4 linked regions of the Nothobranchius furzeri genome follow. The protein of the gene in region 4 purifies or fractionates together with the protein of the main gene of each other region. This does not show direct contact. Links are inferred from orthologs where the notes say so. Each region holds a gene or a part of one and is shown on either strand. Other genes may lie near its edges. The genes, in order: edc3, dcp1a, xrn1 and edc4.

Evidence for each region.
Region 1: the proteins of edc4 (region 4) and edc3 purify together in Homo sapiens (affinity purification with mass spectrometry; 6 studies listed by BioGRID and IntAct, with this or other methods). This does not show direct contact. The link is inferred for Nothobranchius furzeri from reciprocal best matches to the Homo sapiens genes EDC4 and EDC3.
Region 2: the proteins of edc4 (region 4) and dcp1a purify together in Homo sapiens (co-immunoprecipitation; 9 studies listed by BioGRID and IntAct, with this or other methods). This does not show direct contact. The link is inferred for Nothobranchius furzeri from reciprocal best matches to the Homo sapiens genes EDC4 and DCP1A.
Region 3: the proteins of edc4 (region 4) and xrn1 purify together in Homo sapiens (co-immunoprecipitation; 4 studies listed by BioGRID and IntAct, with this or other methods). This does not show direct contact. The link is inferred for Nothobranchius furzeri from reciprocal best matches to the Homo sapiens genes EDC4 and XRN1.

The regions. Positions count from the first base shown.
Region 1 is NC_091744.1:58,993,863-58,998,980, forward strand, and holds the start of edc3 (enhancer of mRNA-decapping protein 3), read right to left. Parts: upstream 3,342-5,118; 5' UTR 3,201-3,341; intron 3,009-3,200; 5' UTR 3,006-3,008; coding exon 2,842-3,005; intron 2,770-2,841; coding exon of another isoform or gene 2,753-2,769; coding exon 2,526-2,752; intron 2,433-2,525; coding exon 2,094-2,432; intron 2,010-2,093; coding exon 1,856-2,009; intron 446-1,855; coding exon 228-445; intron 134-227; coding exon 1-133. UniProt on the Homo sapiens protein: Binds single-stranded RNA. Involved in the process of mRNA degradation and in the positive regulation of mRNA decapping. May play a role in spermiogenesis and oogenesis.
Region 2 is NC_091755.1:32,995,620-33,000,676, forward strand, and holds the start of dcp1a (mRNA-decapping enzyme 1A), read right to left. Parts: upstream 3,139-5,057; 5' UTR 3,100-3,138; coding exon 2,971-3,099; intron 2,597-2,970; coding exon 2,556-2,596; intron 1,786-2,555; coding exon 1,658-1,785; intron 1-1,657. UniProt on the Homo sapiens protein: Necessary for the degradation of mRNAs, both in normal mRNA turnover and in nonsense-mediated mRNA decay. Removes the 7-methyl guanine cap structure from mRNA molecules, yielding a 5'-phosphorylated mRNA fragment and 7m-GDP.
Region 3 is NC_091751.1:60,944,039-60,948,357, reverse strand, and holds part of xrn1 (5'-3' exoribonuclease 1), read right to left. Parts: intron 4,188-4,319; coding exon 4,031-4,187; intron 3,801-4,030; coding exon 3,681-3,800; intron 3,584-3,680; coding exon 3,414-3,583; intron 3,308-3,413; coding exon 3,190-3,307; intron 3,026-3,189; coding exon 2,930-3,025; intron 1-2,929. UniProt on the Homo sapiens protein: Major 5'-3' exoribonuclease involved in mRNA decay. Required for the 5'-3'-processing of the G4 tetraplex-containing DNA and RNA substrates. The kinetic of hydrolysis is faster for G4 RNA tetraplex than for G4 DNA tetraplex and monomeric RNA tetraplex.
Region 4 is NC_091744.1:83,092,545-83,096,863, forward strand, and holds part of edc4 (enhancer of mRNA-decapping protein 4), read left to right. Parts: intron 1-2,447; coding exon 2,448-2,563; intron 2,564-2,643; coding exon 2,644-2,809; intron 2,810-3,935; coding exon 3,936-4,122; intron 4,123-4,319. UniProt on the Homo sapiens protein: In the process of mRNA degradation, seems to play a role in mRNA decapping. Component of a complex containing DCP2 and DCP1A which functions in decapping of ARE-containing mRNAs. Promotes complex formation between DCP1A and DCP2.

The sequences.
Region 1 (5,118 bases), about 24 Mb from region 4:
AAGCTGAGCACTGGTGCTTTGTTCTGGATGGCCCAGTCTGCAGCTGCCCGGTACCAAGGCTGGTCCATCAGGAATGTGTTCTCGTGGCAGGCCAGACAGTTTATGATCAGATCAACTGGTGTGTCTGGGAGATCTGCAAGGTCAGATAAAAGAATAACTATAGAATTTTTGAACTCTTAATTACTAAAATAAACAAATTATCAATATTTATGTCCCAACAAACCCACCTTTGATACTGGACACCTGTTTGCCTCCAGTTTTGTTGAAAAGTGTGAGCTCGTTTGTCACAGAATCAAGCATCTTGACAAAGTTTGGCAGGAACAAGATAACCTCTACTTCATGATTGGCCAGGTGACGACCACAGCTGATACCCTGAGCGCCTTGAACATGAGGTCCACACATCAGCGCCACAGTGGGATGCTGATGTAAATTTTTTGGTGTGAATCTAGAGTTGAAATGAAACACAGATTAGGTTAAGAAAATTTGGAGAAATTAACAGGATCAATTGTCTAACGAAAATTCTTTAAATAACCTGCATTAACATCGAAAAGAGGAAACATTGGAAACTACACCTCAGAACATACCTGAGGAAACAAAAACAAAAGGGTACACAAGCGACTAGTGCTGCAGCTACATGCATCACGCAGGTTGTTCCCAATCTTTTACTCAAAAGTTTGATGCTTTTTTATGTTTGATCTTCTTTATGTCTGATTCTTCAGGCACTCGAGGAGTACAGACGCTTCCCTCTTTTGCTCCCTTATCTTTTTTTCCCCAAGGCTCTTTGTCCTGTCTGCCCACAGAGCGCTTCTCTGCATTTCTTCTGAAAAACTGTTAACTAACCATGGATTTGATAAATTGGTCATTCAATGCGATCGATAAGATTTTTTCAACATTGAGAACGGAGTAGGGGGGCTCCCACATGTCCACAGGGGACACACCCAGTGGGATATATGTTGGATTCCCGGAAGGAGTGGAAGATCATATGCCTCTCCCAGCTGTCGATTGAGGATATCGAAGACGTGTGGATATTCGGCCTGATGATCACTGGATTTCTCCTGATTGGAGTGGGAGGATATCTGGTTTTCTGGAAATTTGGGAAGACGGGAGCGGTTGGAGGGTGACCTGCACCCACGGAAAGCACCGTACGTGTGGAGACTTCTCAGACTGGGACGTTACTCGAGGTGAATCATAAGCTGGACAATGTTCTAGCTGCGATACCGGTATTAGTGTGCAAAATGGACGTCATCTCGGAGAGTTACCAGACGGTATGGACAAGCTTAAAAACCCAAAATTGGCTTCACTGAAGGACTGGAATGATCAGTTTAAAAGACTGAAGGCAAAGAGGAAAATTATATCAGCCTGACCCAAACAAATTCTTGTTATCCGAATCTGACGCCCTGGTAGCCTTGAACTGCAAGCAACTAAAAACCCCCATGAAGGAATGCAGACAGATGCTGTGAAAACCCGACCTACCAACCTGTATGTCTGATCTCTGAATTGTGCATACTGAAACTCTAATTTACCTCTGGGATTAATAAAGTATTGATTGATTGATTGATCCAAAACCGTTTGGTCTGTTTCATCCATCATTTATACCAGAGTCGGCCTTAGTCATGCATAAAAAAATCTTTGCTTTTCTCCATTATTAAAAAGTGAAGCCACTTTTCGGGCTGCCTCAGCATGTCAGTCCCAATTAAACATGTCGACACAGAGGAAACCACAGTCATGACAACCAATGAAGTATCTGTAATTAGCTCATTTAAGTTACTCGAATAATTTAAGTGCTGAAATTGACTCAAAACTTTCCTTATTTCTAAGGTGATTTAGAAGTTAGTCTTCATCTTTACACATTTACCTGTTGGGCCCTCCTAACAGTGTAAGTGCCATCTGACTGGCACACACTCCAGTCATCTCAAGTCTTCGCTCCAGTGAGAGGCCGTGACGCTCAGCAGCAGACAACAGCCGCTTGTGGAGTTCATAGGAAATACTTGGTACAACAAGTCCAGAATCTGTAGAAAGTAATAGAGAAAGGTGTCAACCAGTTTAAACCCAAACACTATCATATAATACCATTTACAATGTTAAGCACATACCAGTACAGTACTCTTTGGCCCCAGGCTGAGGTACAATAATCTGTCTGTAAACGACTGGTTTGCCCTCCAATATGTTCTCATCATGGCGGTACCGTGAGGGTGTCTGGTCTTGAGGAGTGCCCCGTGACCGTGCCCCGTTACGCCGCTCTGATGTGTCAATCTCTGAGAAAACTGCTGCTTTGTCAAAAAGGGCAAGATTCCCTTCGAAGTCAAAATCCGTGTCCAGGTCATCCTCCATGCCGTCCCCAAAACACTCATCGTCTCTGTGCTTCATCTGACCGTTCTTCACTCCATTCTTTTTAGGTGTTGCTTGGTTTGGTCCTCGACTACTAGATGACCCTGGTGAGATTAGAAAAACTTCAACCATTAGTATCATGCCACAGAAATTGATTTTTTGTTTAGTTATTTGATCGCCGAACAAATGGCCCTTACATGAGTTATGTCTTCGACGAAACCCTTTGGGTTGGCCCAGAGCATCTAGATGACGCTCTCCGTAACTTTTAGAGCATTGCTGGGGAGAGTTTAATTTCTCAACAGCTCTGGGGTCACCCTTTGGGACTGCCACCGGAACACTGTGCACGTTTGTAGCTGTAGTAGAGGTTCTCCTTGCATTACCACTTCTGATGTCTAAAATCTTTAGCTCCCTTATATCAATGGCACTGGAAAAACAATCAAACTATTGTATCAATAGTTACTAGAAACTGCAAATCACACAAAGTTACTAACAGTGGAAAAGACCCGTGTTTACCTGAATGTGACCTCGGGAACTGGACATTTGACTCCGTTGTGAAAAGGCTGCCTTAGAGAGATGGTTTGGCTTGACTGGTCCACTGATGATACTTCTCCTTGATACACCCCAAGCGTTGGGCCACAATTAATGGACACTAAACTACCTAACCAGTCCGCAGCCATTATCTGCAAAAAGTTAAAAGTTGTCACACTTGTTACAGCAGCACGTTAACTTGTGACCTAAGAGAACCACAAATATTAATTGTTCATTTTTAGGCCTACGAAATGTGTCGACTGCTTATTATTCCGGCCTGTTATTAAGCTACGCAGAGCCAATTTACGTGCTGAAACGTAAAATACCTTCAACTATCACCGTACCTTTAGGGAATTAAGATAAAGTAGACCCCTCTTGATAATAAAAATGAAACAGCGGGTAGTAAAAGCTAAGAAAATTGCTCTCGGAGAAGTTAGCGTTTTAGCTTTAGAACAGCTACTGCTATTCGCCTTCCTGTTTCCGGTAGACTGAGCTTTTCAAAATAAGACGGAACTTTTATATCTGGCTGGTAAAAACGTTTAGTCAAAAGTCTTTAACTGAAAGTGAGTGAGTGAGTGAGTGAGTGAGTTTTTGTTTGTTGTGGATTCTTTGTTATTTTTTTACATGTTTTACTGAAGTACAAGTATTTTATAAGGTTTACAACCATTCCATTCCACACGTTTAATGGAAATAGTTATCAGTTAGCAAATAATCAATACTTGCAGCATTTCCTCTTTTTTTTCTTTTCTTTTTTTTTTTTTTACTTTTTATTTATTTGTCTTTCTTATTTAATCAACATATACAACAAAAATCTGTGTTGGTAGAAAAACAAACTAAAGAAAAGAAGGAGAACCATATAGGGCAAAATTGAAAAAATGACAATAAAATGTATGGGTGAATATAAAACAGTTGCTTGGGGCTTTGCCAATTCTATCCTATAACCAGTTATATTTTTACCTTTAGCATCCTATGTCCCTTGAAGATAGGAGGTCCATTTTTCCCCATTAAAAAAAAGAGTTCTCCCCTCAGTCTCAACTAAAAAGTGATCCGTTCCATCGTATATTGTTCACTGTCTCCTCTCACTGTTCCAGGGTTGGTGGTTCTGGTTATTGTTTTTTTACCAGCAATTAACAAAATTTTACAGAGATAGTCCTTTCTCTTGACCACATTCTCAGTTAAGTTACAAAACATTAAAATCATCTCATTTTGGGGTATTTTATATCCAAATAATTTTGTCATTTCAATAGATTTTTGATCCTAAAATGGTTTTATTCTGTTGCATGTCCAAAACATGTGGGTGTGGTTGGCACTTATGTGTCCACACTCCCTTCAGCAGGGTTCCAGTGAGTTTAATATTTTATGATTTAGTTGTGGTGTTAGAAGGTTTGTTTGTTTGTTTGTTTGTGGATTCATTGTTATTGTTTGACATGTTTTACTGAAGTACAAGTATTTTATAAGGTTTACAACCATTCCATAAACACATTTAATGGAAACAGTTATTAGTTAGCAAATAATCAGTACTTGCAGCATTTCCTCTTTTTTTGAAGCTGTCTGCAGTTCACTGATGCTGTCAGTCAGCTTCTGTGCCAAATCCTGAGTGACAGCAGCTTCTTGCATAAACAATGCTTGAGATTTTTCAGAATTTGTAGGTTCTTCATCTAGAGCAGGGATTTCCAAAGTGTGGTGCACGCACCCCTGGGGGTGCGCGAGCTGCCGCTAGGGGGTGCGCGAGGTGAAAAGTGTAATGGCTGCGGAGCTCAGAGAAGTCTGTCATATGTCACCATTATTGTAGAAACTCATTTGTGGGTGGGCCTAAGAAAAAGTAAGTGGGCCCAATAAATGTAATTGAAAACAAGTATATTTTTGCGCGCGCGCGTCCTCCACATATGCCCTAGCTTCATAATAACAATGCGCCGAGCTTCAGCACTCTGGCCTGCGCACGCCGATATGTTCCGTCGCGCGCGCGTGTCCTCCGCATGTGCCCTAGCTTCATAATAACAATGCGCCGAGCTTCAGCACTCTGGCCTGCGCACGCCGATATGTTCCGTATTTGATCATTTTTAACGGTGTTGGAGAAATCTGAAGGTGGCAAGTCATTCTGGCAGATTGTAATTAACACCCTGTCTCATGCAGGTGTTCTGACATTGTAAACCTCACACACAGAACATTGTGGATGTAACAAAATAACAAGAAATGATTCCCATTTAGGCTATTGACAGCGCGCTGAAGATCTGAAGTTCAGAGTGCGTCTGTCAGAGGTCA
Region 2 (5,057 bases), on a different chromosome or scaffold from region 4:
TCAAATTTGACACAAACCAAAAATGATTTAGTGATTAAATATTACATTTTTCACAGAAACATTAACTTGTTACCACATCACTTATGTGATTTTGGATTGCACCAACACACTGGTGAATATACCATCCCCCAGGGAGGCTGTGGTTACCTAGCAACTGAAGAGTTTGCCTCCCTGCAGCATCTCCAGCCACCAAAGGGAATATGAAGCCATGTAAACAAGTATGTCTCTCTCCAACAGTCTATAGCCCCGAGCTGCAAGCTCACAAGCACTCAAAGGAGACTGAAGAAACACTCATATATTTGTTAATCATCACCATCTCTCTGAAGATTTAACCGTACTTGTGTCTAACCTGTGCTCTTTATTTGATCCTGCTTTTATGCCAGCTCAGTCTTCATCGTTTCTTCTACTACTCTCGCTTTCAGGATCACAGCTGGGAAATCTAAACTCATACAGCCACACCTTTACAGCAACAGGCTACAGAACGAGTCAGCACACTGAGATCTAGTGGACTGTGTGTGTGCGAGGGACTGTCTGCTGCCAGGGAGAAACCTGAAGATTATCTTCCTGCAACTCCACCAAACAACAATATTAGCACACATGCTAAAGTAAAGTTATCCGAGAAGCTGGTTTTACTGGGATACCAACCTCATCATGTCCTCGATCCCAGCCAGGCTGATGTGCAAACCAACTCCAAAAGGGGAGCCGTCGACTCTAACTTTGACCCTGGCTATGCTGTTTTTCCTTATAAGCAAACAAATGGGAAAGCATTCTAACTCCTTGTTCGTTGCCCTGATGAAGCTTCTCTTCAGACTTCTAATAGATTACCTTGGAGGCAGCGCAGTCAGCTACTTTTTGAAGATTTGAGAAACTTTGCGGCCTTTTTGTTACACTGCTCTGTCACAAGGCTGGAGGACATCGCTGGATTAACTTAGTGGTCGGATTCACCAATCAGAGACTTAACTCTGAGACGGTTGCCCAAATGCAGAAAGATAACTGTTCACTAGCAAAGCTGAAGTTGCTGTTTGGCCATTTTGGGCCATGAGTGCTAAAGTGTTCCTGCTTGATGCTGCAAGACGTCACAATGACTTCAAGCAATATGGAAGAGAGGTGTTCCATCGAACGCTGGGGAGATATCTGTCTATTGTTTTCACAGGTAGGATCATAATAGTGTTTATGCTAGTTAATATAATTAAGGATCATAATAGTGTTTATGCTAGTTAATATAATTAAGGATCATAATAGTGTTTATGCTAGTTAATATAATTAAGGATCATAATAGTGTTTGTGCTAGTTAATATAATTAATACACACATTTGTATGTAAAAGTGAAGATATCACTAATGCTTCAAATAGGAAAATTATGAAAATGCCAAAATTGCAGAAATTTCTATTAAATAATGAGCATTTTGTGACTAACAGAATTTAACAAAGCAACAATAATAATAAGCTATTATACTAGGAGGAAATGTATTTTCATTTTGGTTCAGAAGTCATTAAACATGTTTACAGATTTATTAAACACTTTTTCTGTGCTGGAAACAAGTCCTTAATGTTAAGTCACCTTGAAACAAAACCACAAACACACCAAAATACAACAGAAAAAATAACATATTTCAAAAATACTTCTTTAGTGTTTCATTTCCTTCAAAACACTCACAGTTTCCATTTCTGTAGAGCAAGAAAGGATCCTGCAGCTGGAACTCCAGGTCTTTATTTATGGGCTCAACAAGGTTCTGTGCACTCAGTCGATTCATAATGGTGAAGCCATGGTGAGGGGAGGCAGACCTTCATAAGGACCCAGGAAAAACATTACCTCCTTAATTGCACTTCACATTGCTTTGGGTACAATATTTACTCCACATTTGATTGTTTTTAATTGACCATTTAAAGCAATACTAAAGAGTTTTCGACACTTTAAGCTATTGCCTTCAAACTGGTTTCAGTGGTTCTTCAGCCATAAAGTTGAACATCTTCACATGGGACAGCACTCAGTAGCCCTCTGCTGACCAGAAACTACATTTAACAGTTTTATGGTTTGGGTCGGCACAAGTGTGGGAGGTCTCTACCTGCTAAAAAGCAGGAGCTGTTTACTGTGCTAGTAATTAATATAAAGGATAGCAGTTAACTTTACTATTGATTTAAGTAGCTCCCAGTCCAATTCAAAGTAACCTACAACAAATTCGTGTCCTGTTTATTTTTTTAACAGAAAGATTTGCCTTTGTGTATTTACTGGTACTTTTGTTATTTTTCTTCTTCTATTCTCTAAGTGTATGTGCTTCTGTAACGAGTGAATTTACCCACAAAATTAATAAAGTCTATTATATTTCCTTATAACTAAAGTTTGTAGGTGGTCGTTTTAGTTCTTCATGCTTTAACTGATTAAAAATAAAGTTTATTACAACGTTATAACATAATATTTCAGTTTCAATCTCTAAACACTGTAATTTACGTTCGATTTACTGAATCACAGAGTCCACTTTATCTTTGTTTACAAATTTCAAGGCCTCACGTGCGCAGACGGCGGAACAACCATCGTGGCTCTCAGGTATTCTTACCTTGCATAAACAAACAGGGTTCCCTCAACTTCGGTTTTCTCCTGGAACAAATAGAGATAACGACTCAAACCTAGAAACCGCAAATCCAAACTAGCTAAATAAATTTAGCGAGGGTGATAAGCTAACTGAAAGCTAATAAGGCGTTAAATTTTACAATTAGAAAGTACCTAAGATGCATTAATTGTGTTCGCGTTAAAACAACATACTAGACAACGCTATCTTAATTAACTAAACAAATAAAGACATTTACTTAAAAAACAAAACAAACAAACAAACAACCCCCCCCCCCAAAAAAAAAACAACAACAATATTTTCTGTTTTGAATCAAAGCTCAGAAGCTAAGTGTGAAGCTAGCTTTGTTGGCTCTCCACCAAATATTTCCCGAAACTTTTCCAGGGTAAATTCTCTTACTTACCCATTCGTTTGCTTTTGAATTGAAGTTGTAAAGAGCAACCTGACCGGTAACATCGAGCAGTTTGTTAATGTATGGATCGTGTCTCTGCAAAGCAGCTAAACTCATCAGATGTCCAGCATTAATCGCCATCTTTGCTTATGATTTTCTGCCGCACGGACGAATTTTTGCAAACACCTATAACTTCCGGTATTTACGGAAATCCCACCACTGAAAAGGTTCCCCAGAGGAGTTTTTTTAATTCCGCGGGGAATAATAATAATAATAATAATAATAATAATAATAATAATAATAATAATAATAATAATAAAAACAATGTAATTGCAAATTCTGAGAGAAAATGCAGAAAAAATATGTCTGAAACCAAACCCACAACAATGTGAACATAGTTTGAAAAGGTAGTTTGCCAACTGAAGTTGAAGCTTATTTCCTACACATAATGTCATCCTTTGAGATATTAGAAAAACAAGTTTCAAACTTTTTTGGACTTTTATGCAAGCCAGTTCAAATTAAGGGAATACATGTAATGTGTATACTCTAGGCATTTAACCCTCTCAGGCTCAAAATAAGTTTTGATAAAGGAACAAACAACTAAGTCTTTCAGGGATACATCTGAGTTAAAAAAATGCTCATGAAATACGTATGTGGAGTAACCAGTTAGGTAGGTTTTAACTGTTGCAAATCTGCAGCGCCTGCCTCCAGAGGGTTAAGAAAGTTTCATGTGATTGCAGGTTTCTTAAAATATAAAAATGATAATAAACTTTTAACCCACATATTTAATTTCCACCAAAATAATATTTAGCAATGTGCAACAAACTGTGAAGCAGAAAAACACGGAAATAGATACCTATTTTAACAACTTGTTCACACCTCATTCATTGGATGATCAAAATTTGGAGTTATTTATTATTAAAATTGAGTTCAGTAGCTATTTGCAATGCAAAAGCCTGCAATTATAATGTTAATTTCATGTAGCCTAATATGTTTCCTACCTCAAGTTTCATGGAAATATGTACACATCACAATGGTTTTTTTCATTTTAACTTGTGTTTTTACGCCTAAAATTTCTATTGTTGATCATTTTATTTACCCAAGTTGTTTGGTATATATTTTGTTAATCTTGAAAGAAAATGAAAGCAAAAACAGAACAATATTTCACAACGCCTGACATGGTTTTATGAATGCAGTTTATAATTTCAGATTTATTACTCAGACCTATTTGAGAAGAACTTGCATTATTTTCCTTGTTATGAAGTCAAAGTTAGATTTTCCTTTTATTCAAATCCTAAACTGCTAATAAGTGAATGAAAGTGTCTGAAAATTCTATTTAAAAAATCATGTTTATTATTTGACCCTAGCTTTGGTGCATGCAGCTATCTCTCATGCTTAGGGAACGGGGATTATAATCTAAGGATTACGCACTACCGTGAATCTGTTTTACCCTGAATGCAGGTAATCCAATCACTATCATTCCATCAGAGCTCCAAACCACCCATTCCCTCACGAATCGCCGTAGAATGAACACACAGATCGGCGCTATGAGGCCTCGAAGAAGGAACAGGTGACAGAATGCGGTTTATTATCAGGGGCAGACACCTGAGGGGTAAGTCCAGACAGTGCGCAAAGATTTAGTACATTTTATCTGTCAGACAGGGCAAACCATACAGTTTATTACCAAGGTGATGACCAAGAAATGCATGTGTCTGCAGACATGCATGTTTTTATTTAAAAGAAGTAAGTAAATCAGATATTTTTTGTTGAAGACTGCGACCCAAGATGGCTGATCTTTGACACAAGGATAAAAAAAACGGCAAATAATAATAATTTTTAAATAAATAAATAAATAAATAAATAAATAAATTCTTTGACATTTTTGATTGGTTACAACGATTCCAGATCATAATCAGGAAAATTAAACCCTTTATAGAGAATCTTGTTTTATTTTCTACTGCTGGAACTTGTCATCAGTCCACGGTGAGACTTATTGACAGCAGACTGGTCCGCCGCTCACAGCTCGTCCTCTCGGATGCGCCGTGAATCCACACCAGGCACCCGGATGTGGGGAAAATGCTCGGCGCTCCTCTCAGGAT
Region 3 (4,319 bases), on a different chromosome or scaffold from region 4:
TGGAATTCTTGACCTTATTTAAAAGCCAGATGATGTTGTCGAATATCATCATTCTGCCTAGTTAAGCATCAGTCAAACAAATGTGATGCACATTTCTACATCTGAGGATCTTCTGAACTCACATGACACCCTGTCTGAAACTTTTTTAACACTACAAACCAGAACAGAGTTTTATGACCGTTTGTAGCAGCTGGCTGTTAATTCGACAGGTTTAAATAGGGCTGGACATTATCTCAACTTGGCAGATATATTTTCAAACAAGACACATGATGACTCAGTATTGTTAATATCGATATAAAGTAGGGCTGCACAATATATCGAAAAATTGTCGTCATCGGGATAACAGGACGTGCGATAGGCCCATCGCAAAGCACGTCAAAAACGGCGATAAATGTTTGGTTCAAACATTTCCATCCGTGTCATACATCAGCTTTTTGTAAACCAGCTCTGTTTTTTACGCGGAAGTATTATTTGATCAATCAAATGTAGCCCCTCTGATATGCGGCCAATCAGATGGGTCCGTTCACATAATACGCCCGCCCCCTACGTAGACCCTTACCCCAAAATCCCACTATCTCCGCTCCGCCCCCGCTTTCCGCTGCCGCTCGCTTCCCTTGTTCGTCATGCTGGCTCAGATTAACGAACGCACTTTGTGCTGAGGTTTCTGGAATCAGCGCTGCTTTCAAACGTGAACGTGAGTCCGCTCGGTGTCGTTAAGCAGCTGATAATAACCGGGCTGACTCCGACACGTGCCGGTGAACCAACCCACCCACCTCCATGTCGCTAGTGTTCCACCGGGTGGTGACGTTAGCCCCATGCTCCGGTCCGGTTAGCTTCCAGCTAAAAGGCTACAGCACTCTCCTCCCAGTCCCACCCTGCTAAAGAGGGCCTGGAAAAGTTCCCCCACACATCAAAGTGATTTTTCATTTATAACCTTGTTAATCAGGATAGTTGATTTGCTGCTGCACATAAACTGTCAGTCAGAAGCTCTGCTAGCTGGTAATCTTAAGAGGAGCTAGTTCAATTTGTTAGCTTGTTATCAGAATCATAGTTGCAGTTTCATCATCTGAGCTGCTTTTTAAGATCTAGGTAAACTTGTTCAATTTGGGGATAAAAACAAACGTTTTCACATATTTTCCATGTAGTTTTTTTTGCCAGTTCCTCTTGTTTTTCTCTTTCCCTCAAAAAATCTTAATATTCTCCTAGTTTGGCCCAGCACAGATCACTTCCCAATTACAGCAACAGCCTTATATCATAACCACATAAGTGGAGAAAATGTTCAGTAGCAATGAGAGAACTTGCTGTTGCATGTAAGTGATGTTAACTATTATTTAACATTTAAACTTATTTTATGATGTTTTTATTTATTCCAAAAACCCTGGTAAGGGATGTTTTTCTGTATTTGGAGCATCAGAAAAAGTTTTATGGTGGTGGTGATGTTTTAAAGTCACTGAGAAGCTGCATGCATGCAGTTTGTTGTTTTGCTGCTAATACAGTAGCAGGTGCAGCTGCATATTTTTGCAATAAAAATGTTATGTTGTAATGGAATTCATGCATTAGTTTTTGTTTGCTTTGAACCCAGAGCAGACGTCACACGCCAGACGACATCAACACTGCATACTTTAGTATTTGTTCATTTATCGTGAGTAATATCGATATCGCAATATTAAGCACTGTTATCGAATATCGCAGGTTTTCCTAATATCGTGCAGCCCTAATATAAATATACAACCAGTGAGTTTCTAGTCAGCAGGCATCGCTCCTGCTAGCTTGCTGCTCCTCCGTCTGACAATAAGCGATCAGGGTTTCCCCCAGAAAATGAGTTAAGCCTGGCAGATCCGGGCAGGGGGGGGGGTTTGCACACGTTCCGCTGCTGTTTCTCACCAGTACCAGCTGATGGAGGGCTCTAGTTTTGTTGCGCCATTCCTGTCAGCAGACACAGCTGTGTCGAGGAGGGGGGCGGGGCATGACGCTTAGCCTGGCCAAGCAGCTTACAAAGCGATGGGGGGGAAACCCTGAACGATCATTCTTACACGTCAAGACGATCTGGTGCAGACAAAACTACCAGAAAATAAAAATATCCGGGTTTAATTTTCTGCCCTGAACTTCAAACTCAGCTTTTTGGTTACAGTTTTTGGGGACGTTTGTGTTTTAGTGAGCTTATTCGTCATGACTGACTGTTTTGTTTTTCCTGTTTGTTTGGTGAGACGGGCCAAATCCCCTGCATCATCAGCTAACAGGTACATGGTGCCGAATTATGAGTAAATAATGTGAGATTCCAACTATGTTTGCCTTCCTCTGTGCTGTGTGAACATGTTAGCATAATCTGCTGCATTGTGGATTTATTTACATCTTTTAAGAGATGCTTTGCAACTTTTTCATATTTTTAAATCATTTTCTTGAGCCAGAATGTGCTAAAATTGATCCGACATACCTGACGCCGCAGTCTGGTTCCAGCACGTTTCCTGCATGTTAGCTGATTTGTTAAATTTAGCAATGAATCACTCATGCAGACACTAATGAAAGCAGGGGAGACATTCCAGCTGTTGAAGAGACGACGAGGAGAAAGGTTTTGGTTCTACAAACTGACACTAGGGGGTGCTAAAAGCAAGCCAAAACTGCCAAGTTCCCATTTAAATCACCATGTTGAAAAATTATTTTTTTCTGGGTAAGAAAAAATAAAAAATGACTATATTGTGTTACATGATACTATAGTATTAAGAGTGATATGGGCCAGACTCCTAGGTTCTACATGGTTTACATAGATGATAAATATATTGTGTGTTTGAGACATGTAACAGATATTTTGTAAAATCTGTACAGGAAGTCAGATATTGCGATAAATATCACGCATCAGAATTCAGCTAATAAAGATCAAAATGTAAGTTTTGGTCCCAGCCCTAGATTTATGAAGAAAACCAAAACTCACCGTTTCCCCGTCCTGACTGGGGAGAAGCTCCAGCATCATGTTCTCCCCTCTGCTGCTCTGCTGGAAGACTACAACGCCACTCTTCTTCTTATAGAACTAGTGAAAAGACGAGGAGCTTTTCAATGCAAGTCTGCATTAAAACATCATAATTAAATCTTATTTAACACGCATTACTGATTGAAGACATAAAAAAATGGTACTTGTGCTACATTTTGTCTATAAACTTGCAAAATGAAAACATCAGCAGTCACCCAGCCCACCTTGTGTTTGATATGGTGCAAAGTAGGGAAACCACAGAAGTAGAGCGCCGAGCGGTCAGCGCGCTTGTAGATGTGACCAGGAGGAACTTTCCACGTGTCCATCGGGATGCTGACTTTCCTGAAACAACCAATGAAAACCGGCTGAGCTTGTGACGTGCACTCTGTCTTTCAGAGATAATTATCCTGTATCAAACACAGATCTGTATTAATGTGTTTGTGTTTACTTGACATGGCAGTTTATGATGCTGGGGAACAGGTGAGGCAGGGAGGAGTTGTACGTGAAGTCTAAATCTCCATCATACGAGTACAAGTCACACTCTGAATGCCGATTCCTGGCTTTCTCTTCATTTGTCAGCTTGTGGTTGAAGGGCTCCATAGCTGCTAGCAGGCACCTCTGTTTAAAGCACGCAGACACGGGTCAATGAGTTCGTCTGAGGTAACATTAGTCTGCCACCAGCGGCGCTTTTGTGTGTGTGTGTGTGTGTGTATACCTCGTCTATAAATGGAATGAGCACCACAGCTTCCCATTCCTGCTGCTTGCCGTTGAGGTCCGTTTTAAAGTCTAGAGGATAATACTCAATGATGGGGGAGTTTGTGCTCGTCATCAGATCCTGGGGCATCAAAACAACAAGTATCATCCATCTCATCGGCAGCATCAGGATTTTGTGTCTCAGTCCGACTCTTAAAATAACCGTCATGTATAACAACTTCCTGTATTTTGGTGAAACCTACGGTAGTTTTAATGTTTTATAATCGCATCACGGCCCTCAGACTGACACCTTGTGCCTGTAAAACATTTATATCCCCAACTCAAAAGTATTTAGAGTGTGGCAATAATCACCCTGTAGCACTCAGGCAGCAGAACCTTGCTAGCTGCAGGCAGGACTGCCAACAGCTGCTGGAAAGGCATAAAGGGCTTCCCGAGGTCAAAGGTCAGCTTCAACCCTGATATGTTTTTGATGTCGGACAGGAACGGAGCGTAATGGTATGGGTAGTACCTGGAGACACACATGATAATTAAAAAATGATTTTAAATCAAAACCACAAAAGAAAATCTTTTGTTATGTTAAATTAAGTGAATTCAGGTCAATAAATGCTTTAATAACCTAAACAACGTGGTCTGTCACGAT
Region 4 (4,319 bases):
ATGTAACCTCACGGTTATTGTGACCAGAATTATCACAGTTTTCGGTATTATCGCGGTATTTTTTAAACATGTTACATTTTCAGACAACTACATAAACCCCGTATATCAGGAAAATATTGTCCTCGGTTTGTGTCCTTCCAGTGAGCTTTGCAGATGTGGGAAAATGTCATCAGGCAGGAATCGTTGTTAAATTCATAATTATTCTCGGAGAGAGACCAACTCTTATCTGCCCCTGGGAGCCCCGTAATGCATAGCGTCATTTCTACATGGGGGTGTCCGCGACACGGTTTATATGCAGGTAGCGGCGCTGCGGCTGCTTTATATAGCGACTCGTTGCATTCTCCCTCAACCCAAATCCTCGGATCACGCATTTTAGCTAAAACGCTAACATTAGCTTGCCTTCCGTTGACTGTAGAGTTGTGGGTGATGGTCACGCAGATGTGTCATGAGATTTGAAGCGTTGCTGCCTTTCACAGACACTTTTTCTGCACGTGCTGCAAACAGGATAGCTGTCTTCTATCAGCTGTCCCTCGGCGTTCTTCAAATATCCAAAAGATGCCCGTACTTCTGACTTTGTCTTCTTTGAGGGATAATAAATGTCCTGAGCGCTGCCGTCTCCTCCTTTGGCCATTATTTCAGCTTTAGCTTCAAGAAAGTTTTGGTTGTAAACAACAAAGTGCGCATGTGCCGCCGGCAACTTCAGCAGATGATACGGTGGCTGGTAAGGGTCACCGCGCCTACACCGCAGCCACGGTAACCCACCGAGATAATATTGTTTTTTTAAAAACAAGACGGTTAATATTATTGTCAACTTTTTTACCGGGGTTTACCGCTACACCGGTTACCGTGACAACCCTAGTCCAGAATAGTGAACCTTTTCACAATATTCTAGTTGTCTGATATGTTGAGTGTGAGGTTCTCATCAGCTGTAAGTCAAGACAATAAAACAAATAAAGGCTGAAATCTCCGACTGAGATTAGTTTCACCTTCCAGGCTGAATCACTGACATAAACGGACTTTTGCACCAGATTCTAACATCTTGAGTTTCACCCGTATGTAGGGCTGCTCGATTATGGCAAAAATAATAATCACGATTATGGTGACTGAAATTGAGATCACGATTATTTAAGACGATTTTTCAATTTATGTTGATTCTATTTGTTTCTATTCAGTCATAAAATTGCTCAGGGCACAATCAGGACAAAAATAAGAAACAAGATGATCACTAAAAGAACTCCTGGTTCCCAGTATAAAAAGACCAATATACTTATAGCTCATAGTCTATGACCCAAGGGCTATAGACCTTGGTTTAACTCATTTAAGTCTAACCAGTACAGAACCAAATACCAATATCTTGCAAATACTGACAGCAATAATTATACAGTGGCATTTATAACAAATAAATGCAAATAAATTGATGTTCACAAAATGTTGCATAACATTTATGTAGCCGTGTCAAGGTGCTGTAGGAGAGTGCACTAGCATCGTGTCCCCAGAGAGATTAGTTATTATTTATCAGCGTGAGAAACTTATTTCTACCTTATTTATAAACTATTTATTTACAAGTCCATCAGTTAATGTAATAATTGTCCCAACCACAGCTGCACTCCCCACCCCCCAACCTGGTCTCACAGCAATCGGGCAAGCTGCACGTGTGTCTAGCTCGCCGCACGCGCACATTTAGCTGTTTTTAGCTGCTCAGGAGTCCGCAGGTGCGGTGTGTGTGTCACTCACTCTGGTTACTCCAACAGGGAGCCGGCTCTGAGAGCTGTCTTTAGCGACCGACACATCACTGCATCATCCCTTTCCTAATGTTGTGAAGAACAGTCCGGAGCGCAGGCGGAGTGTTTAGCTAACCTGCAGGAAATGTCGACGACAGTTATCCAGAAAGTAGCTAAGGGTTACCAGAGATGTTTCTGAGGTGTTCGCTAGGTACTTTTAAGATTTAAAAGTCAAGAAGGGGGTCTGAAAAGCTGCTAGAAATAGCGTCAAAGTCGCTAAGTTGGCAACACTGTGGAGGAGCGCTTCATTTGCAACTCAGGGCAGCGCAAGCGGGAGGAGCAAATAATCGGCTTGTTTTGTTTTTTATAATCGTTCAAAACTCAGATCGTAATCGTGATTAAAATTCGATTAATTGAGCAGCCCTACCCGTATGGATAAACTGCCTCTTTGTCCCTTTAAATACCCAGAGTCAACGAGTACAGCAGCTTGTGCATCAATAAAACATGTCTTAATGCTTCAGATAATTCAAGGCAGAACAAATTAAAAATAGCCGAGGCAGCGGAGGTGTCTTGATCGCAGCAGCCTCTGGAGGAATGTCTTCCTGCCTCGCCTCTCCTGCCCTCTGATTTAAAAACATTTTGATCTTCTTCTCTCCACTGTCTCTTGTGTAATTATAGAGGAGTTCTTCTTGTTCATCTGTTTTTATCATTCTTCTTCCCCTCCAGCGATTTCCAAGAGTCTGGAGCCCGTGACGGGTCAGCTGAACAGCACCATAGCGGCTAAGCTGACGGCTGTGGAGGTCTCTCTGAAGGACAATGTCAGCAAGGTGGTCAAATCCAAGGTAAAGCGTTGTGGTTTGTGTTCTTGCTGCCGCATTTTCCCACGTCCGGGTACGTCAGAACCGTCTCTCTGCTTCATCAGAACACGACCGATGCGATTGGGCGAGCAGCAGCCGAAGCCATGCAGGGTCCGATCCAGGCGGCCTACAAAGATGCCTTCCAGAGCATCGTGCTGCCGGTGTTTGAGCGAGGCTGCCAGTCCATGTTTCAGCAAATCAACGACAGCTTCAAGCAAGGAACGCACGAATGTAAGACGACCAGATACCAAATCGTCCTTCTCAGACACTGAAAACTGGTATTTTTTTATCAGGCTGTTGTTGATTCGGACCCAGGGGAGCCGATCCGGTGAAGTTAGTTTACAGACGGGGTCGTTTTGAAAGTGAAAACTTTACTTGGAGGCTTTTCTTCATGTGAGCATCTCGGATATTTGCTCAGCGACCGTTTGAGGGTTAGATTCTCTTCAAGTGGAAATCCTGTGAGGAAGAGTTATTTGGTTCTTCTCTGAAGCTGTAAATCTGGTCAGTTCTCTAATCTAACGTGTGCAGAGTGGAGGCGTCTGCACTAAACTCGGAGGCTTCGTCCTGTTTACATATAATCCACGATCACATTCCGGGTTTAGCCGTTAAATATTGACTGGAAGTGCCGCGTTAACATCTGCACCGCTGCGTAGCGACCGGGCCTGTCACACGAGTTACTTAATCGTACGATGCATTTATCTCTGAGAGGAGCATCGTCGGCTCACACAGACGTCCTCGCTCACCTGCGCCGAGCAGCCAGGTGAGATGGCCTCGTCTTCCACCTGTGAGCTTCTGCTAGGCTGCTTCACTTAAAGCCCGAAGAGAAGAGGAAGAATTAGACTTTGTGAAAATTTTCTTCCAGAAGATGAAATCCTGATATTTTTTATTTATTATTAATATTATTGATCCTACTTTTACCATGAAAATGGCTTCAACTCGTACTGAAGTCTGTGGCTGCAGCTGCGCCTGTTCGCTCACCGTCAGATCCACCTACGTGCACGAGTGTGTGTGCAGACTTGACTAAAGACCAGTGCAGTAAATATTTTATCCATTTATTCACTGAAGAGCCTTTAACGATACAGGAAGTGTGTACAGGCTGTCCGACACGTTTTAGGACATTAATACACGTTTCCTCTAAACCACCAGTGTTTCTTGGGTGTGTGTGTGTGCGTGTGTGTGCGCATGTTCGTGTGTGTGTGCGTGTGCATGTGTGTGCGTGCGTGCATGTGTGTGTGTGTTGGATGGAGAGACTCAGCCCTGCAGCTGTGACCGTGTTGATCTTGTGTGTGTTTGTGTGTGTGTGTGGGGGGGGGGGGGCTGAGGGAGGAAAATACTTTTTTAACTTTCGTCTCTGCAGACATCCAGCAGCTTGAGACCCACATGAAGAGCAGAAAGCAGAGAGAGCAGGACGCGCGGGACCCCGTGATCGGGCAGCTCCAGCAGATGATCGACAGCTTCCAGAGCTCCACGGATCAGCTGGCCAGCAGCATCACAGCCACGGTCCGGGCTGAGGTCCAACAGCAGATGCAGATCGTGGTGGGAAAGTATGTATCCGCGCCGTTCCCTCGTCGATGGCTCTGTTAGCCGAGCGTGAAACCCCGGTTTCACACTGCAAGCATCAGCGGAACGGAACGGCAGCGGAGCGGCTCACTCGCGAACTTCAAAGCGGTCCTTTTCACACCGGGAGAGTCTCGGCCGCGGCACAGCTTTCTCGCTGCGCCTCGCTGTACTCGCGAGATTC